Drosophila melanogaster: one gene and its partners. The protein of the gene in region 1 purifies or fractionates together with the protein of each later gene. This does not show direct contact. Each region holds a gene or a part of one and is shown on either strand. Other genes may lie near its edges.

Region 1 (5,352 bases):
ATGCAATTTTGTCGAATGTAAAACTGAAATAAACTAGAGCTGCTAAAGACCCAGCTGAATCCATTCAACGAAATCCACCCCTATATAGCTACACACACACATGCAGACCGGCAGGATTCGGTGGCTTGCTTTCCGAGAGTGGCAGGGGATAAACACACGCGCGACCAGGACAACAACAAAGCGCTGAGGTCCTTGTAGGAGCTCACTGCAGCTGCAACGCGGCGCAAGAGTGGGAGGAGGAATTCCGCAACGTGCGCAGGGCCTGGCAACCATATGGTGGCTTCTAAGGGTGGTACTTATGGTGGTGGCACAAGCCTCAAGCGACTACTTCGCCTTCCGGATCAGTTGTCAACTGCATAGCGGCCAGGACACACATCTAGTCAGCGGAGTAAATCAGCGTCAGTGAAAAAAGCCAAGGTGAGTGCTCGCCTATCAGTTGTGTCAAGAATCAGGCCTGAGACATCCATATCATTCAGATGATACCGCACAGCGAGAATCCTTTTTCGATCGAGGATACTTACGTCGAGGAGCCACAGTTCTCTGAGCAGTGCGGCAACAGTCGTTGTGGACAGCCCCAAACTGCGTATGAGGTCTATCAGAGAATCCTGCTAAGATTACAAGCCCAGGAACATACACGCTCCACAGAAGCCAATGAATATGAGATAAGGAAGAAGTTCTGGATAGCCAGCTTCACTGGGAGGCCCTTGCAATATCAATGTTAGTTGAACAACACAAAAGAAAACCATATCCCTGATAGAAAATATATCCAAAGATAGACAGACATTTGTTTTAAGCCTTTATTAACTTTATAGCCTTACTTTAGACATTAACAGTTAAACTTAAGCTACTTACCCATCAGATTTAAAATAAAATAATACTTTGAAAAAACCTGAAATATTTTAGTTATGCAAACTCTTTATATGTTTATTCAATGTTTTTTCTTTTTCATTTATAAATTTATAATAGTTTATTAACTTATTTTTAGACGCACTTTAAGGTCTTGATGTGATCTTCATTTCGTTTTTTTTTTTTTTTTTTTTTTTTTTGATTAAACAATGTGATAAGTTCGCACGGTTTTATTTCATTAGATATAAACCTCTTGATTCTACTGCTAGTGAGACAATTGTTTAATTACGTAATGCATATATTCATGGTAAATGAGGGGTCGAGTCATTTAAAAGAATAGGATAGTTAGATCTGATTGCAGAGAATTTATTAAATTCATTCAATGCGTATCATTTTATTACATTCATAGAAAATTACGAACTCGGGAAATCATAATTTAAACATAATAGGAATTATTTGACTTATTATCTGTTGAAATGGTCCAGAAAAGGCATGCCAACAGTTTAACATATTTATGGATATACAAATTTAAGATTAATATTGTTTGTGGGAATTGATAGCGCAAGTGCGCGTTTTATAAATATTAATGTTTATTAATTGATAGCATCATTTTGAATGCTGCTTTCTTCTTGATTAAAGTATTTTCAATGTGCTCCCAGCATGGATTTTATAACGTAAGCATTGTCCTTTGTTTTCATTTATAGCGGTGTGCGACGAAATCAACCGGAGCTCTATTATTTATATTTTTTAAGTATTGTATACGGATTGGGCTTATAGGACTTGATGGGCGGTTCGCGCATACGTTTCATGTCAGTCGGATATGGACGTTTATATGCCGCTGCGTTTGTCGGTATTATTGATGGACGTGCTATAAAATTGGTTGATTATTATTTGTAGTATTTTATGCGTGTATGTAATTACTATAAAGGAGTGAATCGTTGCATAATATTAATCATTCCAGTGTATTATATAGTTTGATCTGAGAGCTTGCTCAATCACAGTTATTGGTTTTGATAGTATGATCTAATCTAATCTATAACCCAAAGTTCCTGTCAAAGGTGCATCCCAAAAAACTGGTGCATTCAGGGGAAAAATCGATCTTATGTCATAGACCCCGGCACTACCCAAATAAAGAATGCATGCTTGGGATTAACTTACGTTTGCTGTACTCATAGCCCGTAGGCGGACGCTTGGGGGGCATACGATGTTCATACTCATAGGCCACCTCCTCCACATCGTCGACTCTATAAAAATGAAAATGTTAATTGCTGGGTTAACAGATGTTGGCTAGGATTTAAGGCACTACTATGACGCGAGGACTCTCGGTTCCATTACTCCTGGTGGGGTCATTAAATAATACAAAATTATACTTTACAAGTAACTTACTCGGGCGGATTTTCCGCAGCTCTCTTAATCAGGTTGATGTATTTGGGAGCCCCATTGCTGTTGCCTCCAAACTTCTTGTCGAAGACAGATCTGCAAAATAATATATTTTTATTCTCATGCCCAAAGGCTGCATAGGGTGTAAGATTACCTGTAGGCCTCCAGATTCGGTCCGTGAATGTTTTTGGCTGACTCGGGATCCATTTCCATCAGCTCGCGCAGCTGTTCGTGTGAAACCTCGTCGTTCTTGTCTGGAATAAGATACTTACGGATCTCGGCCAGAGCGTAGGCTATGCGGGCATAGCACTCCGCCGGAGTGGCCACCGTGCTGACCTCCAAAAATAGGTCCTTCTGAAGATGAGCATATCTCGGGTCGCCTGTGCTGCGCAGCTGCTCTTCTTTGTTACGATCGCGGATCGAACTGCGACCCTTAATGGCAATCTTGCACTGGGTCTCCTCCTGAAGGCGACGCAGCGAATTGCCCTTGGGCCCCAGGATCTTGCCAGTGAAGTTGAACTGCGCAAGGGTACGGATTTATTTTTCGAACGGAGAGGACAGCTAATTGTATAAACCCACCTTGGGATACTGCTTTACGGGCACGAAGACCTTTTGGGTAATCTTCATCGGCTTCTGCTTGTACACGTCTGCGTAGAACTCTTTTCCGGGAATACGACCAGTGCAGTAGACACGGTCCACAGCTGCAATATTGGGATTAGTACCATTAAAATACCCTGTAAAAGGGCCAAATTGATTTTACCCTCGTCGATTAGCAGTGCGCAAAGTGGAAAGTCCGCGGACAATCGCTGGCGCTCCTCGTCCAAATCGGCGAGAAACTTTTGGGCCACCTCGTTAAGACGCGGCTGGTGATCGTGGGTGGGTGGCTGTTTCTCAGTAAACTCGCTTGGGGTTTCCATTTTTATCATAACAATCTTTACAGAAAATTACAATTAAAAATGGTGTAGACTGAAAAACAGTATGTACACCAATGAACTAAAATAATGGCAGAGCTGCCAAGCGTGTGAAGTTTTCGGGCTGCCAACTTTTTTAATTCAATAGTGATTGTTTAAATGTCGATTTTTTCCACTGTGTACAAAATGTCGTGTTTGAAACACAGAAGTAGTACAATTACTATAGATTATTTTAAAAAGTTAAATCTGTTAGTAAGGAGCTTCGCCGAGAAGATAGCGGAGCTGCCACCATTTCGATTTCATACATGGTGCAATATCGATATTTTTGGCGGCTGCCTTGATACTCATCTCTAAAAATATGGTATTTGGATTGCATTCGCTTGGTTTGTTTTCAATTTTTATAGTGCGCAATGGCCAGCGAGGAACTATTTGAGGCTGAATTCTCGGAAGAACAGGACTTGGAGCATCAGCAGGCCATGGAGACTGAGGAGGCGGAGCTAGCGGAAACAGAAGAGCCTTTGGAAATCACCGAGGAATCGCCGGATAATCCTGAGGCAGAATCTACAACAGAACAATTGACAGAAAAACCAGGTAAGTTAGATGCACTTAGATAGAATTTCTCCTATATGGCTCCTTTCCTTCCAGTGACGAATGGCAACAAGGCCCCTGCTGATAACGAAGCCAAGATGACACAACTGCCGTTGGCCAGGATACGGAACATAATGAAACTAGATCCGGATCTGCATATGGCCAACAATGAGGCCGTGTTCATAGTGGCGAAGGCAGTGGAACTATTCATAGCCTCGTTGTCACGGGAATCATATACCTACACGGCGCAGTCCAAAAAGAAAACCATACAAAAGAGGGACGTGGATATGGCCATTTCTGCTGTGGACAGTTTGCTATTCCTTGATGGAGCCATGAACTTTTGAACACCCCCACAAATGAAACTGGATTTGTCGATTATACTTTTATACTTTATTTAGGGATATTCAGCGGCAAACAAATTCAGTTCTAAACGTCCTTATGGTTTTATGTTAAAAATAATATTTAAGTTATAAAACAATTGTTGATTCGCAAAGAAAAAAAAACAAAAAAGAAATCATAATTATAAACGACAACGTTTAACGTTTCACAATACTCTTTGCTATTCGGAATTTGTAACGAAGCCGGCATTTGGTTAATTTATTTAACTGCTGAATAGTGTGGTTTGTTGTTTGTTAATCATACTCTGTCCGCAGGCGATACTTACTTTGTCGTTGGGCACATACATTTGTAGTTTATATTTTGCTTTTTATGTTGGTTTTATCTCCATTATCTTATGAAACAATATTTTCAAGCTTAGTCTAAAATTATGCTTTGATAAATTAATTGTTTTGGGGGGGTTTTCGCTTGTGTTTAGTTCTCTTCTCGTATTGGCTTTAACTAGTATTAGGTTGATTGAAGTATGTCTTTTGTTTTTACAATCTTTTTGAGGATAAAATTTGTTGCATTATTGGTTTCTTGTTTTAATTTTAAACACAATTTGAATATCGGACAACAGTTGCAATAAAAATTTACGTTTTTTATTTGATTTTCGTTTATATATTATATTTAATAGGTGTGAATAGTTGGATTGTTGACTTCAAACATTTTGATATTTCGTTGGAATATATTTTAATCTTTACGCTTAACATTGTTTAGTTGTGGTTGTTGTTGTTGTTGTAGTTGTTGTTGAGGTTGGTTTCTTGGGGTTTTGGAAAATCGATGGGTTAACGTATTTTCGGATATGGAGCCGAGCGATATCGCACGCTTTCACGAGATCGGGATCCAGTTTCGTAGTGAGCAGATGAATGTGATCCCGAGCCCGAGGTGGTTGGTCGATATGACGATGATGAACGACCGTTGCTTGGTTTTGCTATTTTGAAAAGAATTTTATTTGTTGTTTAGACTTTAAATTGTTTCTTGTTCTGTCTCTGTGGTGCTGTTTTTTGGTTTTTGGTTTTTCTTTTGCTTAGCATATATACATTGTAAAAAAAAGAAAAATATATTGTTTAACCGGTTTTGAATGCACTACACCCTACGAAACGTTATTGTTTTGAGTAAAATGCATTTCGTTTCATCACGTTTCAAAAAAAGTTGTTCCACAAACCTTTCAGCTTGGATTTTATAGTTTAAGCATGTTCAAATATTTTTGGGTTTCTTGCCATGAAGTTTTATGGTTTTGTTTTCAAAG
Region 2 (6,335 bases), on another chromosome or scaffold:
GGCCAAGCTGATCTAGCTTCGGCAGCTTATCTATAAATTTGCGCGCCGCGTATATCTTGGCGTAGTTCTGCAGCACGCCCTTAAAGAAGCGATACCGCTCATTGCCGACGAATATGCCGGCCTCCATCAGAGTCTGCTCCCGCAGCACGTGCAACAGCTGTTCGGAAACGCGCTCGATGGCCGAGTGCGGCTGCACCCCGCTGCCGAGCAGCTCCATCACGATCTGCTTGGCCTCGCCATCGCCCTCTGCGCCGTCGCCGAGGTGATTGAGCAGGCTGGCAATTTGCTGGCGGCTGGTCAGCGCCTTCAGCTTGGCTGGATCTCCCTCGATTGGCAAGAGCTTTACAGCGTGGGCCGACGTCGAGGAAGCGGAACCGGCGTCGCCCTGAGCGCCGCTCTCGAGTTTCTCTGGCTCCGGTTTCGGCCTGCGGTCCTGCTTTTTGTCCTTCAGCTGATCCTGTTGATCCTTTAGCTGCGGAAGGACCCGCGTTCGGAGTAGCGGCGAGACGGTGGCCACCGACATGAATACCTCTATTGCGCCCTGCTCATGAATCTGGTTGCCCATCTGGGCCTTCTGCTCATCGGAGACCGGACGTCGGGACAGCCGCTTCATGGTTGGATAGGGAGGGGTTGCAACTTGCACAGATTGAACGCGAATAAAAACTAAAATTTAGATTGGGAGTGGGTTTCGGAGAAGCTGTTAGGAGACTGTTGTATGCTACGAGTGAAAACTTTGTGACCGTTTCGGAGCACAGATTCCAGATGACAATAGGTTTCAAAAGCCAGGCCTACTAGACGTGGCACCAGGACACCCAGAAGCTATAAAAGATCTTTCAGACTTGCAGGTATACCGTCTCGTATTTACTGCACTAATTTATGTGTGTACATACATACCAAGTGTATAACTAAGGATAAGAGCGACGATCTATCTATCTCGTCGCCCGGCTATCTAACGTGGGCGCGCAGGGCGATTGTACTGGGAATTTCAACCTGGTTCACCTGCAGCAGCTGCACAAGGTTGCGAAGGAACTCATGCGACACCTTCAGCTCGTCGTCGGCCTCCAAGCGCTCAAAGAGATCCAACGCCGCCTCGTAGTCGTTGCTACGGCAGAACTGGGCCAACAGGAGGTCGTAGATCTTCTGCTCGTCTATGGTCCGCTGGACACCCCTCACTCCGCGCGCCAGCCGCAGGAGCGTCCGCACAGCGCCCTCCTGTCCCAAGTGCTCGCAATTCTTCACGAGGAGCTCGTGGTTGATGCGGAACTCTGGGTTGATGATCAGCCGGCGCAGCTGTGTCTCCTTTCCGGATTCGGCCAGGGCGAGCAGCAGAGCGCTGTTCATATTGGCCGCTCCGTGGATGCGACTCACAGTCGCAGTAACCACCGCTAGGTGCTGCTGCGCGGACTCGGCCGTGACGCCGGGAAAACGGGTCAGCTCCTGCTCGTCCCCGTTGCCCAGTCGCACCAGCAGGGACAAGAGCTCGAACTGCAGAGGCGTGTGCTTGTGAGTGTTAGCCAGTCGCTGAAACTCGGCCACCGCAGCGTCCAAGTTGCCCTTCAACAGCCACTCGCGGACCACTGGTCCCAGTAGGGCATTTTGCGATTGACAGTAGCCCAGACCCCTGAGGAAGTCCAACCACTCGCGAGTCTGGTTAAGTTGTTTGGAGCTCTCGCCACCTGCATGTGAAGAGGCGGCCAGCTGGCCCACGTTGGTCAGCAATTGCCATACGTTCTTCATCACATAGTCGCCACCGACAACCTTATGCTGCTCCGCGCGTCGCTGGAGCAGCTGCTTTGCGGCCTCCAGCTGCTGGCCTTGGACCAGGAGGGCGGCATAGTCGATCACTTTGTGCTCGTCAATCTGAAAGGCTTAAGAGAGAACGGTATGCGGATTAATGCAGTTCACATCTAGTAGTAAGTTGTTAGGTACCTGGATACATGCTGCTCAGTCGCTCCAAGCTCTCCTGGGCGCGCGGCAAGTCGCGCAGCTTGATGTGTAGGTCGAATATGGAGGCCATCATGCCTGCGCTTTCCTGAACCTTCAGAACTTGGCACTTGGCCAACAGCTGCTGTGCGCGCTCCAAGCGCCCACTGCGCACCGAGAGCTGCAGCAAGCGACGCAACACGCCTCGCGGGTTCAGCTGCTTGGACTCCAGCTCGACTAGGTGGCACTCGAGCTCGTCTATGCTCATGTCGCGCGGGTGCTTGATGAAGCCTCCGTGGAGCGAGACCGTGTCAGCTGGCAGGGCGAGCTGTGGGTTTTTCATCTTCTGCAGCGTTTTGGCCAGATCCTGGATGAGGTCAACGTCATCAGTGGCGTGCCGGACCACGGAGAGTAGAGCTTCGGAGGCAGCGGGTGAGATTTGTAGCTCTAGGCGTCTCAGTTCGTGCAGAAAACGTCGCAACGAGGTGGCATCCTGGCGCAGACGCGTCTGAGGTCCAGTCATTTGCAGCAGCAAGGAGCCCACAAAATCTTCTCCCCGTTTGAGTGCCTTCTGCTGCAGGGCTTGGATCACTTTGGCAAATACCTCGAAACGCTTCGTGGCACGGGCATTGACCGCCAGCGAAGAAAGTGGTTGGAGCAGCGTGGCCAGGTCCAAGCGTGTCGGATACCGATCAAGCAAGTCCAGCACCTCGGACATCTGATGCTGCTGCAGCAAGTGGCTCACAACCGGGCACAGGGTCTGGGAAGGCTTGACCCCCGCCGATTCAAGTGCCTTCACGGCCTCCAAGGGCTGCACCAGGGTTTGGCGCAGGTGGGGAAACAGGTAGTGCCGCAACGTTTCCTCGTCGCACTCAACGCGCAGGCGCCGCATTTCAGAAACCAGGCGTAGCATGCCGCTTTCGCCCTCCCGCCGGTAATGGTGCAAGATCAGGGGCCAGAAGTAATGCGGACGAAGTTCCTCGCCGGCTGCAGATAGATCCTCCAGGCAGCGTAGCGCGGATGATGGCTGACGGCGAAGGGCCAACTCCGCCACCAAATGCAGGGCGCGGACGTTCTGGTTCCGCTGCACTAGTTGACCGGCGAACTGGATTGTTTGGTCCAACGGAACTTGGGCGCGGAAGAACTCCTGCAGCAGAAGTGCACCGTACTCATCCACGTTCTGATTCTGCAACTCGAACTTCGGAGCGGGCAACGCACCTACGAGCTGTATGACGACTTCGGTGCGTCCTTGGTGCACCAGCTGAATGCACAGGCTTCTGATGGCGGGCGGCAGGTCGATACCTGTTAGAAACTCGCGGGGCAGTTCCTTGACAAGCAGTTGGATTAGATCCGTGTCGACATCCTTGCTGGCGAGCAGACCCCGCAGCATCTGGAGCAGCTGAGGGGCGGTGAATCCGTGCTCCACCTGCAGCAGCTCCTTGGCCTGTGCCAACTGACCGTTTTCCAGCAGAGCCTCGAACCAAATGGCCTGAGTGCTGCTGCCTTGCTGTATTCCTGCGGCCCGCATGCTGGCTAGGACGGACTCCGCCCCGGGCAGATCACCGCTGCGGGCGTGGCCCAAAAGCAGGGCGTGAAAGTTGTGCTCCGTGAGGGCGAGGCTGCGCTCGCGCATCTCCGACAAAATCTCGGTGGCCATGCGCATGTTTCCGGCGGCGCCGGCCACGTCCAAAAGAGCGCCGTACAAGGTGGAATCGGCTGCTCCATGGTAGACGGCAATCTCCGCCAGCAACGAGCGATAGTCAGTCAGAGGCAAACGGTTCTGGCGCAGCACCTGGAGCTTCGTGTGGTAATGTGCCAGCGTGGGCTGGCCCAACTTGATCAGTTGAGCCCAGAGTCCCTTGAAGAGCTGAAGACGCTCCTGGCTGCTCTGAGCAGGAAGCAGTTCGGGCACACAGGACCCTAGAAGGAAGTGCACCTCTTCGATGCCGACTCCTAGCGGCGACGCAGACTCCTGCAGGAGCTCCAGCAGGCGCTGGCAGTGCTCAAAGTTGATCAGATCGTGCTGCCGGTAGTACGCCTCCAGCTGTGTCCACGCATCCGCCACGCTGGCTTTCGGTTTTTCAGAGGAGGAGGCGGGGCGCCGGCTTCTTCGCTCCACCGCACTGAGGACGCCACCCGTTCCCAGGGATCGCATCTGGAGCAGCGAGAACGGCACCGCTGGCGCCGCAGGCTTCGTTGCATAACGGAATGCCAGGCTGGCGGAGGAAGCGCTGCGTCCTGGCAGATGGCCCAAGCGCTGCCTGCAGAGCCACACGTTCCGCAACAGTCGTGCTCGCTGCATTTTGCCCAAGTTAATTAATCTTCCCCAAAATTACGAGATTTTACTTTCGCAGTTTTGCGGCGAGCAACAAAAAAAAAACAACACGCGCCGGCAATCAGCTGTGCCTTCCAGTCGAAAGATATCGAAAACAGTGCTGCCCATCTGTATATGCATACCCGTTTCCGTTGCAGATTTTGATTTAAAGTTTAAGTTAAGTCATGGAGCTCCAATGAAAGGAATGAAAAGAAATACCATGGGGACATGTCATTATTTTATAATCGCTATTTATTTACTTAATCGATTCAACGGATCTGGAAGCGCAACCCTACAGCGAGGATCTGGCCAAGCGGCGTCGCTGCGCAGCCAGCGGAGTGCCCTCCTCGCGCAATTCGGCCAAGAGGGAGTCCTGCCAGGGACGAAACAGGAGGCGCTTTGTCGCCAACAGGGAGGCGGAAGGCAAGCGCAAGTATTGGTCGACGCGGTGCCAAAACTCCTGCGGCTCTCGCACCACACTGGCCACAAGGCCACACTGGAGGGCAATGCTGGAGCTCGCTTGATCGCCCAGACGAAGCAGCCAGTGGACGTGTGGCACAGTCCAGCCGGGACCCACCTTGGTGCAGGGATCCAGGTGCGAGAAAGCGGGCACAAAGGCAGATAACTCCGTTGCGAAGACCAGATCGCACAGGCTGCACACGCTCAGGCCCAGACCGACGCACTGCCTCTCCACAAAAGCCACTAGGAGTTTGCGGTGCACAAGCAGCTTCTTGGCCAGCGAGCGCATCACAAAATTGGCCGCCTTCTCATGGATGTACTGCTCCTCGGCATCACCACTGCCCACAGCTTCTTCGTGGGAAGCGGTACGCCTACTCCTATTCTCCAGACCCTGTTTGAGAGCCAACGGTTCCATCTCACCGCCACATGCTGCAGAAAACTCGCCCGAGAGCACGACCACCTTAACGGCGGCGTCTGCACTCGCCAGGTCCAGGGCGCGCATCAGCTCGTAGAGGGTTCGGCGTTGCCAGCGCCGCTGGAAGCGTATGTGGAGCAGCCCAGAACGCTGTTCGACGACCAGCTCCCTGAAGTGCTTGCAGCTCTCGTTTGTGGCCATCGCTGAAGACTGCGTGATAGAGACTGTGGCCAAGTGATAGAAGACAAGAGCCGTAAGCATCTGCGCTTATCACGCGGTCAAAGTGCAGGCTTCTTTTCTCCGCGCAACTGCGCTCCTCCGCATCTCGAAATTACCTTCCATTCACGCATCTCTTAAACTCAATTGGGGGCGCCATTCCAACAACAGTTTGCTTTCATTGGTGTGTATGCTAAATATATGCTATCTTTGTGTTAATCGTTGTGTCCAGGCTGGGCCATCAGATGGCTTATCTATGTTTCTCTCAATCTGCTAGTTGCGCAATATAACTCTTTCAGTCTGAGATTGTGGGCCTTCAAACTCTCGAAGTCGGGGGGACTTTAATATATATGTATATACGTAGGTTTAATGCTTAAAATGTACAAGTGCCTCTTAGACACACCCTTCGGAATAAATAACTAATGGGCTACAATCAGTGCTCGTCCAGGTGCGAGAACTTTTTGCGCAGCTTCTCGCGCCTCTCCTTCTTCACATGACGCCAGGGCTTGGCCGCCGGATCATTGCCGGCTACTAGGGACCCGTCGTTGGCCAGGCGCACGTTAGGGAAGTTAGTGCGTCCTTTGACGTGGGCGTGCGTAGGCTTGTCGGAGAAGAATTGGTTGTCTAGCTCCTTGGACGTGCTTTTGTTGATCTGCGGAAAACGCGATCAGTTAGCAAAGGAATCACGTCTAGTGCAAAGGGCAAATCTCACCCGCATGGCTCGCTGCTGTTGGCCGGGCAGCTGTGATTCCTCGATGACCCTGCGCTGGCGTTCGGGAAAGGTGTGATACTCGGTCTGCGGTACAGAGGGCGGGCTCATGGCGTAGAGCAGTCTGCCATTGACGTAGTCTTTAAGCACATACCTGGCGGAACGCGCCTGATCCGGCTGCCCGTTGGAGGTCATAAAACCGCGATTGTCTGGAAAAGAGCGAGAAAGAGTGCGTTGTGAAATACTGAAATGCGTGCGCAAAGCATTGGCACTTACATCCATAAGCCAGCAGCAGCTCC
Region 3 (5,255 bases), on another chromosome or scaffold:
TTTGCAGGGAATTTGTTCGTTGTCGCAATGCCATAAATTGTGCAACTTATGCGGCCAACTGGCCGCCTTCTCTAATACCCCATCCCATCAACCCCCTTGTGGGGCTATAAATTACAAGAAGGCATTTGCCACACTTCCGTTTGGGGGCCTTCATTCAGGTCTGCTGCACTGTCTGCACTTTTCACTTCGGCTAGTCTGGAGTTATTTTTGTGCCTTAAATCGGCTTAACTGGCCTGGCCGGCGGAGTTGTAGTTGCGGCTCAGCTGGGCCCGAAGGGTTCTGAAAATCAATAACCCCCAGCAAGGTTGTGCTATAGAGAGCCCCATTGTTGTCGCCGTTGTCCATGGCAATAACATTTAAATGGCTAGGGCTTCTTGAAATTCAAATTGCGAAAGCACAAACTTTAACACTTCCTCAATGCCACGGCGAGCAACCCCTGGACTATAGCCAGCCGCCACCATCCTAAAGATACTCATAGTTTCTGCAGTCTACAGTCAGTCTGGCTTCGGTTGACAGAAACAGGGGCGGAGTTGCCAATTTGCCATTGGGGAGATCTTGTAATTCTAGACCAGACTGCTGCCGGCGGCGACGTATTGTCTGGCAGACGGACGCGAGTGACGAACAAATGTGGCAAAACGATTTATTTGGCTTTATCAGCAATTTTTGATTCTCCTTTGTCTCCCATTGAAAAAGCGCCGCATTAAGTGCTCCGCCTGCGTTTGCGGCGATTTGTCATATCGCTGATTTACTAACCTTACACCAGGCATTATCTCTTGGCAAAGGAGGCCGAATCCGAATCCGAGTCCGGAATGGCGGGGGAGAGGTGGAATCCGGGGCGAATCACCCCTGCTAGCAGCTAGAGGGTGACTTTTTCTGTTTTTTTTTTTTTTTTTTTTATACAACCGAGGGTGTAACTAACCGACACAAGTGCAAGAAGGCAGGATATGCCAGGATATGCATGTGTGTATGTATGGCTGGCTGTGTATGTTTGCGCATATCGCCGGCATCAACATCAAATTTATTGAGGTAGTTGCCAAGCGGCTCTGGCAAACAAAACGAGCATGCAAAAAGGAATGTTCTTTAACATGCAAACGTTTCTTTGTTTTTCCCCCATTTTAGCCGTGCTTCTATTTTTTCTGTACGAGTATATGCATGGGACAGAGTTGCCACCGCTGGGGCAAACAAGCGGCGACTACCCTGTTGCCATAACAAACATGCATAAAAAATGATGACTCGGGCTGGAAAAAAAAAGCACACACACAGTCCGGCAAGTGTTGCAAATTGAAAGCGGTTTTAGGCCAGGAGCCGTCACCTGAATAGCTTTGAGTTCGGGAGACCCAAGAATAAAGACTTAAATTGGCTGTGGTATGTGGCCAGTCATCCTGTTTTTTTTTTTGTTCAGTATGCACTTCCATATGCCATAGAAGCATTAGCATGGCAACTCAGCGTATAAGGAATACCATTTTATCGATATTTCACTGCAATCCTAATGGAATTTCCTGCATTGTTGTCTACTCCTTTCGACTGGCTCAATATCCATTGCCCATGTGTTTATTATTCATTTACTCGCTGTGCGCCGATAAAGCGCTTTTCCTGATTTTCCCGCCTTTCTCGCATCGCCAGCGCAACTTCATGACGCTCCCCCGGTGTTTGCCCTTTTGTGGGCTTCCCTGCGGTTGTCGCCAACACTTTTCACTTACAGCTCGCTGCGTTTTCGCGCCCAACAATCTAGATATACATACATGCATATAAATACATAGTATTTATGTGTTGGAGGGGCCTAGATAATGGGATATGTTTTTGTTGTTACTGGTTGACTGGTTCCGCTTATTGTTATAGTTGTCATAGCGCACATGGCATTCTGATGGCCCCACTGCAGTTGTCATAAATTTGTGGTCTTAATACTTGCACCACACCATTTTCAGGATTGCCACCTCAACAAAGTGGGTTCGGTTCGGTAACCCTTTCTAAATATCGATGCGTAGTTGGCCCTGCTGGGCGATTGTCAAAAGTTATTCCGTAATGTTTTTTGTTTCTATTCAGTTGTGAAAATTTTTCTCGTCTCTCGAATCGTTTCGGAACTATTGATTTTTACTTCAAAAATAAGAAAAAGCGAAAACAAATTCATTCACATTTGCAATCGAAATTCCAAGTCGCCTAAGGAAATTGAAAATTGTTAAATTGTTGCATTACGCGATGCTTTCCCAGATGGAAGCCTCCAAAGTGCAGAAGGATGAAGGGGGCGGCGAGGCTCTGAGCCGCACGATCCTCAAAACACCGTCTTCATTCAGGACCCCCAGCCCAATTCCCAGTTGCAGCAGTGAGTATTCCACGCCGCTGCAAAACACCCAATTGCCCCCGATATCAATCGCAAAGTATTTCAATGTCAGCGAAAACGAATCGAATGCCGGAGAATTAATGCGAAATTCGCAGAATGCCAGTGGAGAGAGCAGCAACAAACAGAAAAGATTTTAGAAATGTTCGGGTTTGCCCATAATTTTTGTGGGTCGCGCTCTATCGCTGGTTTGGCTCTCCCATTCTTGAACGATAGAGCTAGCTGATATTGCTGCTGTTTTTTTTTGTTTTTGTTTTTTTTTTTTTGCACATGTTACGCAATTATCGCTCTCGGCTAGTTGGGGTCCCTCGTTTTTATTTTTGCAGCTTGCTTCGTTTTTGTTTGAACGTCAAACACACACAACTTTCTATATGTATGTATGTACATACACATCGTACATATATATAATATACATACGAATATACGTGTACACGCGAATCAAAATAGCATTTGCTGATAGTGTGGCTGCTAAGGTAGCTTTCTATGCTGCGGCCTGTATAGGTGAGCGTTTGCCACTTGACAACTGTGGAACATTTGCATTTTCATTATGAGTGTGCCATAAATATTCATTTATGATAAATGCCTGTGTGCAGCTGCGGCTGCAATTGCAACGAAAGCGAACAGCTCTTGTTTCCGCAGCTCAACTGAATTTAGCCACGGAACAGATCATAAATAAATGTATTAGGCTGATTTAACATAGCAAATCACGTATACTACTACTTTTAGTCAATAAAACTACTAATACTAATCCAAGTCTAAAGTCCAGTAGCTTCAAACACGGCAAAAAGTGAACCCACTAGATTCATCAGCTGTTACCAGGGCAACTAATACGTCACGCTCTTGTGAGCGTGGCCGAACACATCGCGTATACGCAACACGTCACGCACAATTCGCAAATCGCGCCTCTTTTCGTTTGTTTACATTTTGGCCAATACGTTTTCATGCGGCTCCCTCTTTCTCTTCTCGTTTGCCTTTCTCCTTCTCTTGCCTTTCTCACGCACTTTTCGGTGCTCGGATGCGCGCTCTTCTGGATCGCAAATTTGTGCGTTTCGCATTTGTTTGGAGTCAATGAACTTTGTTGCTCGCTTTGTTGTCTCCTCTCTCTCCCATGCTCCCTGCTTTATCGCACTCCCCGTTTATCTCATTCCGCGAGTGCGTGCGACGGTGCGTAAGTTGCCAATTTTTCGTATTTCTCGTATTTCGCACATTCTCGCGACCCATTTTTTACCAAGCGCTCGCCGTTTGTGGCTATTTTGCGTTCGTTGAACTCTACAAGGTGATTTTATAGGTCGCACAATTTGTGGGTGCTCACTTGAATGTATGTTTCAAGAATATTAATATTTATGTATAAATACTCAATATATATTTATAACATTTTATTATCGTTGCACTTGCAGAAATGGCGGAAGGTAATGGCGAACTGTTGGATGACATTAACCAGAAAGCCGATGACCGTGGCGATGGCGAGCGTACAGAGGATTATCCCAAGCTGCTGGAATACGGTCTGGACAAGAAGGTGAGTGCTTTGAGAACCCAACACCACATGCCAACTATTACCAACATTTGCCACATGCAACATATGCTCCTAGGTCGCCGGCAAACTGGATGAGATCTACAAAACCGGCAAGTTGGCTCACGCCGAGCTGGACGAGCGCGCCCTGGACGCGCTCAAGGAGTTTCCCGTCGATGGTGCCTTGAATGTGTTGGGACAGTTCCTGGAATCGAACCTGGAGCACGTGTCAAACAAGTCCGCCTACCTATGCGGCGTGATGAAGACGTACCGACAGAAGAGTCGAGCCAGCCAACAGGGCGTGGCCGCGCCCGCAACTGTCAAAGGTCCCGACGAGGACAAGATCAAGAAAATCCTCGAGCGCACCGGCTACACATTAGATGTGACGACAGGTGAGAAACATTTTCAAGTACTGGAGAAACTTTTATCTAATACTATTACTTATACCGTACTCAGGTCAGCGTAAATACGGCGGACCGCCGCCGCATTGGGAGGGAAATGTGCCAGGCAACGGTTGCGAGGTTTTCTGCGGCAAGATACCCAAGGACATGTACGAGGACGAACTGATTCCGCTATTCGAGAACTGCGGCATAATCTGGGACCTACGACTCATGATGGACCCGATGACGGGCACAAATCGTGGTTATGCATTTGTCACATTCACAAATCGCGAAGCGGCCGTCAATGCAGTGCGACAGGTATTTAAGCCAACCACAGATCATCCATACCACCAACCACCAGTCCAGCCCAGCCCAGCCCACCTGAAAACCCAGTCTCCCCAATGAAAACCCCACCCCATCCGACCCTGACCACCAAATCAGTTTGATCCCCGCTTCAATGTTTTTACGTATTGCTAACTCTTAAGACCTATACAAATATCCTATATATATACATATTTAACGTATTGTATCCACATATTTACTATCGTGTTATAACACATCGGATGAAGTAGGAACAGTTATGCGGCCAAAGCAAAATTCAAATATTTGAAATTCTCCACAGCAAGAGCGAAAAATTACCGATTTGATCACAACCGATTTGGCGCTTTTAGATCCGACCATGAGAAATTCTGCAATTCCATTTAGTTTTTAACGTATGCTTACTTTACCTCTCTGCCTTTGCTATTAAGAATTCGAACTATGGGCAACGCTATCTGTCTCACTCTCTCGCTGTCTCTCTCTACTTGATCTTTCTGTAACTTATGTAATGCATGTCCCGTCTCCTATGAGTTGTAATCTTGATTTACGCAAACGAATCTCTACAGCGCCCTAAAATCGTTCAAATTGCAAGTTTGAAAAGAGTTCTCTCCTCTTCGAATAAAAGATTTGGCCTCCTCCCTGATAAATCACACAACCCCCTACCCTCCTCTCTCTCTCTATCGTCTCTATATCTGTTCTACTTCCTTTTTAG
Region 4 (3,380 bases), on another chromosome or scaffold:
CTATTATTAAGTTTTCTAGGCTTTACTGGTGCTTACCAAGTATTGACAAAGTCCACAAACTCTTTGGAAAACTCCATGCCGTTATAGGATGTCAAAAGTCGCGGCGGTTCGCCTTGCACAACCTTGAATGTTAATATTATGAAAAAGTCATTAGCCAAAGAAAATTAGCTTCAGATATTATGATAATTTACTATATGAAAGACAATACGATAAGACAATCAGCAAATAAAATGAGTCATTAGTCAATGCTTATCTCTATTAGATTATTCCTAATGACGAAAGGGAACAAGACGAACGATATTTGTATCTCATTTTAAAAGAAAAACTATCCTATTAAAATGTTTTATGTTTACCTGGCACAACTGCTCGAAAACAGAGTCCCATTTACGATAGGGGAAATTACCAGTCGCCACCTCCATTAATGTGATGCCCAATGACCAAACATCGCTTCGTACATCGTAGCCCTTGGCACGTTCTGGATCAATGCGCTCCGGCTGCACAAATGCATACAATTGCGGTAAAAATGTTGTGAAATCAAATGACAATCATTACCGCCATGTAGGGCCTGCAGCCCGCATCCTTGGTCTTGGCAATAGAGTCGACCAGCTGACCCGAAATACCAAAATCGCACAGCTTTATGTCTCCGCGACGGTGCAACAGAATGTTGCTCGGTTTCACATCCCGATGGATAATCTTTAGCTCCTCCTTCAAATAGTTCAGCGCATTGACCGTGGCCACTGTTATCTTAGCCAGTATAGACTCTGGAATGTGGCGCTGCTGCTTTTCGTAGATGTACTTGTAAAACTTGTCCAAAGAGGTGTCCATCAGCTCCATACAAATCCAGCAGTCACCCTCCTTGAAAAGCGCCCCATAGAACTGAACAATGTAAATGCACTCGTTGGACTTCATGACCACCTCGAGATCCATGAGCAGCTGCTTCTGTTCCTTCTCGTCTACGGTGGATCGAATGCGCTTGACGGCCATCACCTTGTCCAATTTCTTAAAGGTCATCTTGTTGACTGCCCCAAATGCACCGCGTCCAATTTCGCCCTCATCCTCGAGATCGTCTGAAGTAAATGTGTGTGTATTAGCGCCGCCCTCACCAAACTGTAGCTTGCCACAGGCCTGCTGGCGAATTCGCTCCCGGTGACGATCGGCAGCGCTGCTGCTCGATGCTGCCGGCACCGGTGGCACTTGACTGCTGGCCACCGGCGGGGTTTGCTGTGGCTGCTGGGCACCAAAACAGCGGGTCACATGGTTGTGCTGTGATGAGGAACTTGAGCCCGAGGAGGTGGATCCCGAAGAAGTGGACGACGTGGACGAGGGCGGATGGCGTATGCTAAGATTATTCAGGCTTAGCTGATCCGGGGGATTGCGGGAGCGACTGGATCCGGCTGGAATGTGTGGGAAATGGGAGAATTTAGGAGGCTTCATAGATGGCTTATCGCCGCTGCACCAGATTTCCAAACTATGCGTCACCCAGCGAGTATGTGGTCCTCTTCGGCTGCATGTGTATGACCTGCGTGGGCGGTTCGAGACCAAAGGGGTAACTCACTTGCAAACAAATTTTTCGGTCGTTCGGCCATTGTGTGTGGTGGCTGAAAGTATCGATGCGCCTTTGTGTGGCTGTCCTAAGGATGTTTTGTCCGTTTTCTGCAGGCGCCGCGCCCCGAATACAACACGTCGACTTGATGCTCCTTTGGCCCTCCGATCGCCTGGTTACTGGGCCGCCTTTGATGGGCTCTTCGCCGTTTGCAACGCAACTACTTTTTCAGCAATCGAGCGCACTGATATGCACTTTTTCCGCAATTTCGCTAAACATTTACATAAATAGCAACCAAAACTTAAAAGAGCTAGAGATGAAACATTGATTATTTGCGGCCAATCGATAGCCATCGATAGTATGCGCACTAGCTTGCGATAAGCAGTCCTGCAAGGTGCAAAAGTAGTGAGGTGGGTAATAAAACGAATATAAAAATGTCACCTATAAATAATTATTTCTTTAAAACCAAGAGATTTGAGTTTCTATTTTTCACAAATTAATCCCAGCTTTGTTAAAGTTTTTACTAGTTGAAAAGTTACATTTCGTCAATAAGTGACGTCGACGCCTACATAAACCAATCTGCGCCACCTTAAAATCAATGCACAATCACCAGTGATTTAAAACCAGAAAATTAAAACATACATAATCATGTCCAGCGGATTTGTTCGCAGCAGCTACAAATTGTTCGTCGGCAACCTGCCATGGACGATAGGTAGCAAGGAACTGCGGACCTACTTCTCAAAGTACGGGCACGTGGCCAACGCGGAGGTGGTCTTTGACCGGCAACTGGGCCTGTCCAAGCACTATGGCTTTGTGGTTTTCAGCCAACGGGATGCCTTCAACAGCGCCAGCAACCAGAACACCCATTTCCTCGATGGACGAGTGCTCACAGTCCAGCGGGCGAATGAAAGTCCTCAGAGTTAATCAATGAAGAATTTAATGATTTATTGGTTAGACCAAAGGAAAAGCATGAGAAATGTTTGTTAACAGCTTAGTTTTACACAAATGAATGCAGCACTTGCTTCAAATCGTGGCATCTTTGATTCATTTGGGCAAGTAGAACTTGCTGTTGGTGCCCACCACGTCCGCAACATTAGTGTGACCCAGCCGTGTGATCAGCGCCGACAGCTCCGCCTTAATGTCTTCCACAAGAGCGGGTCCCTCGTACACTAAAGCCGTGTAGATTTGGACGTAGGAAGCTCCAGCTTCGATCTTTTCGTATGCATCATAGCCGGAAGCCACTCCGCCGACGCCTATGATGGGAATCTTTCCATCGGTGAGCTGGTACATCTGGGCGATCATCTCTGTGGAGCGGGCCTTGAGTGGAGGACCACTTAATCCGCCAGTTTCCTCGGCCAGCTTGTTCTTTTCGATGTTTTCCCGCGACACCGTGGTGTTTGAAACGATCAGGCCATCCACGCGGCTCTTCTTGCGCTTGATTACCCACACGATGTCCTTCATGTCGTCCAAAGATAGATCCGGCGAAAGTTTCAAGAGTATAGGCACATTCTTGTTCTTATCCAGGGAGGATTTCGTGTCGTTGACCTGTTCCAGGAGCTCTCTTAGCTTCTCCTTGCTCTGCATATCGCGCAGGCCCTTGGTGTTCGGACTGCTCACATTAATGACCAGGTAGTCTGCTACGGGCCCGAAAACCCGAACACCCTGTACATAATCCGCTATCGGGCTCATGGTGGTCTTGTTCCGGCCCAGATTCACGCCCACAACTCCATTGAAGTTCTCCTTTTTGCGGAGCAAGCGCAGCCGTTGGAGCACGGCCTGATGCCCGTCGCTATTAAATCCGTACCGATTAATGATGGCCTTGTCCTCGGTCAACCGG

Evidence for each region.
Region 2: the proteins of qkr58E-3 (region 1) and Lrpprc2 purify together in Drosophila melanogaster (affinity purification with mass spectrometry, with the first as the bait; one large-scale study listed by BioGRID). This does not show direct contact.
Region 3: the proteins of qkr58E-3 (region 1) and Syp purify together in Drosophila melanogaster (affinity purification with mass spectrometry, with the first as the bait; one large-scale study listed by BioGRID). This does not show direct contact.
Region 4: the proteins of qkr58E-3 (region 1) and SLIRP2 purify together in Drosophila melanogaster (affinity purification with mass spectrometry, with the first as the bait; one large-scale study listed by BioGRID). This does not show direct contact.

Annotation. Positions count from the first base shown.
Region 1 is NT_033778.4:22,408,307-22,413,658, forward strand, and holds qkr58E-3 (quaking related 58E-3), read right to left. Parts: upstream 3,240-5,352; 5' UTR 3,144-3,239; coding exon 2,987-3,143; intron 2,928-2,986; coding exon 2,806-2,927; intron 2,746-2,805; coding exon 2,381-2,745; intron 2,323-2,380; coding exon 2,233-2,322; intron 2,091-2,232; coding exon 2,005-2,090; intron 1,715-2,004; coding exon 1,581-1,714; 3' UTR 902-1,580; downstream 1-901. Other genes in the region: VepD (Ventrally-expressed protein D), read left to right, coding at 477-722; PolE4 (DNA polymerase epsilon subunit 4), read left to right, coding at 3,548-3,728, 3,783-4,069; qkr58E-1 (quaking related 58E-1), read right to left, coding at 4,889-5,034.
Region 2 is NC_004354.4:1,456,334-1,462,668, forward strand, and holds Lrpprc2 (Leucine-rich pentatricopeptide repeat containing 2), read right to left. Parts: upstream 4,285-6,335; 5' UTR 4,226-4,284; coding exon 1,930-4,225; intron 1,869-1,929; coding exon 946-1,868; 3' UTR 842-945; downstream 1-841. Other genes in the region: CG14785 (uncharacterized protein), read right to left, coding at 1-613; CG14787 (uncharacterized protein), read right to left, coding at 4,530-5,312; Ns3 (nucleostemin 3), read right to left, coding at 5,761-5,979, 6,040-6,245, 6,313-6,335.
Region 3 is NT_033777.3:20,788,013-20,793,267, forward strand, and holds the start of Syp (syncrip), read left to right. Parts: upstream 1-1,973; 5' UTR 1,974-2,196; coding exon 2,197-2,320; intron 2,321-3,732; coding exon 3,733-3,851; intron 3,852-3,924; coding exon 3,925-4,237; intron 4,238-4,301; coding exon 4,302-4,543; intron 4,544-5,255.
Region 4 is NT_033777.3:8,648,926-8,652,305, forward strand, and holds SLIRP2 (SRA stem-loop interacting RNA binding protein 2), read left to right. Parts: upstream 1-2,158; 5' UTR 2,159-2,191; coding exon 2,192-2,467; 3' UTR 2,468-2,568; downstream 2,569-3,380. Other genes in the region: Mkk4 (MAP kinase kinase 4), read right to left, coding at 37-122, 354-494, 553-1,394, 1,556-1,586; Dhod (dihydroorotate dehydrogenase), read right to left, coding at 2,588-3,380.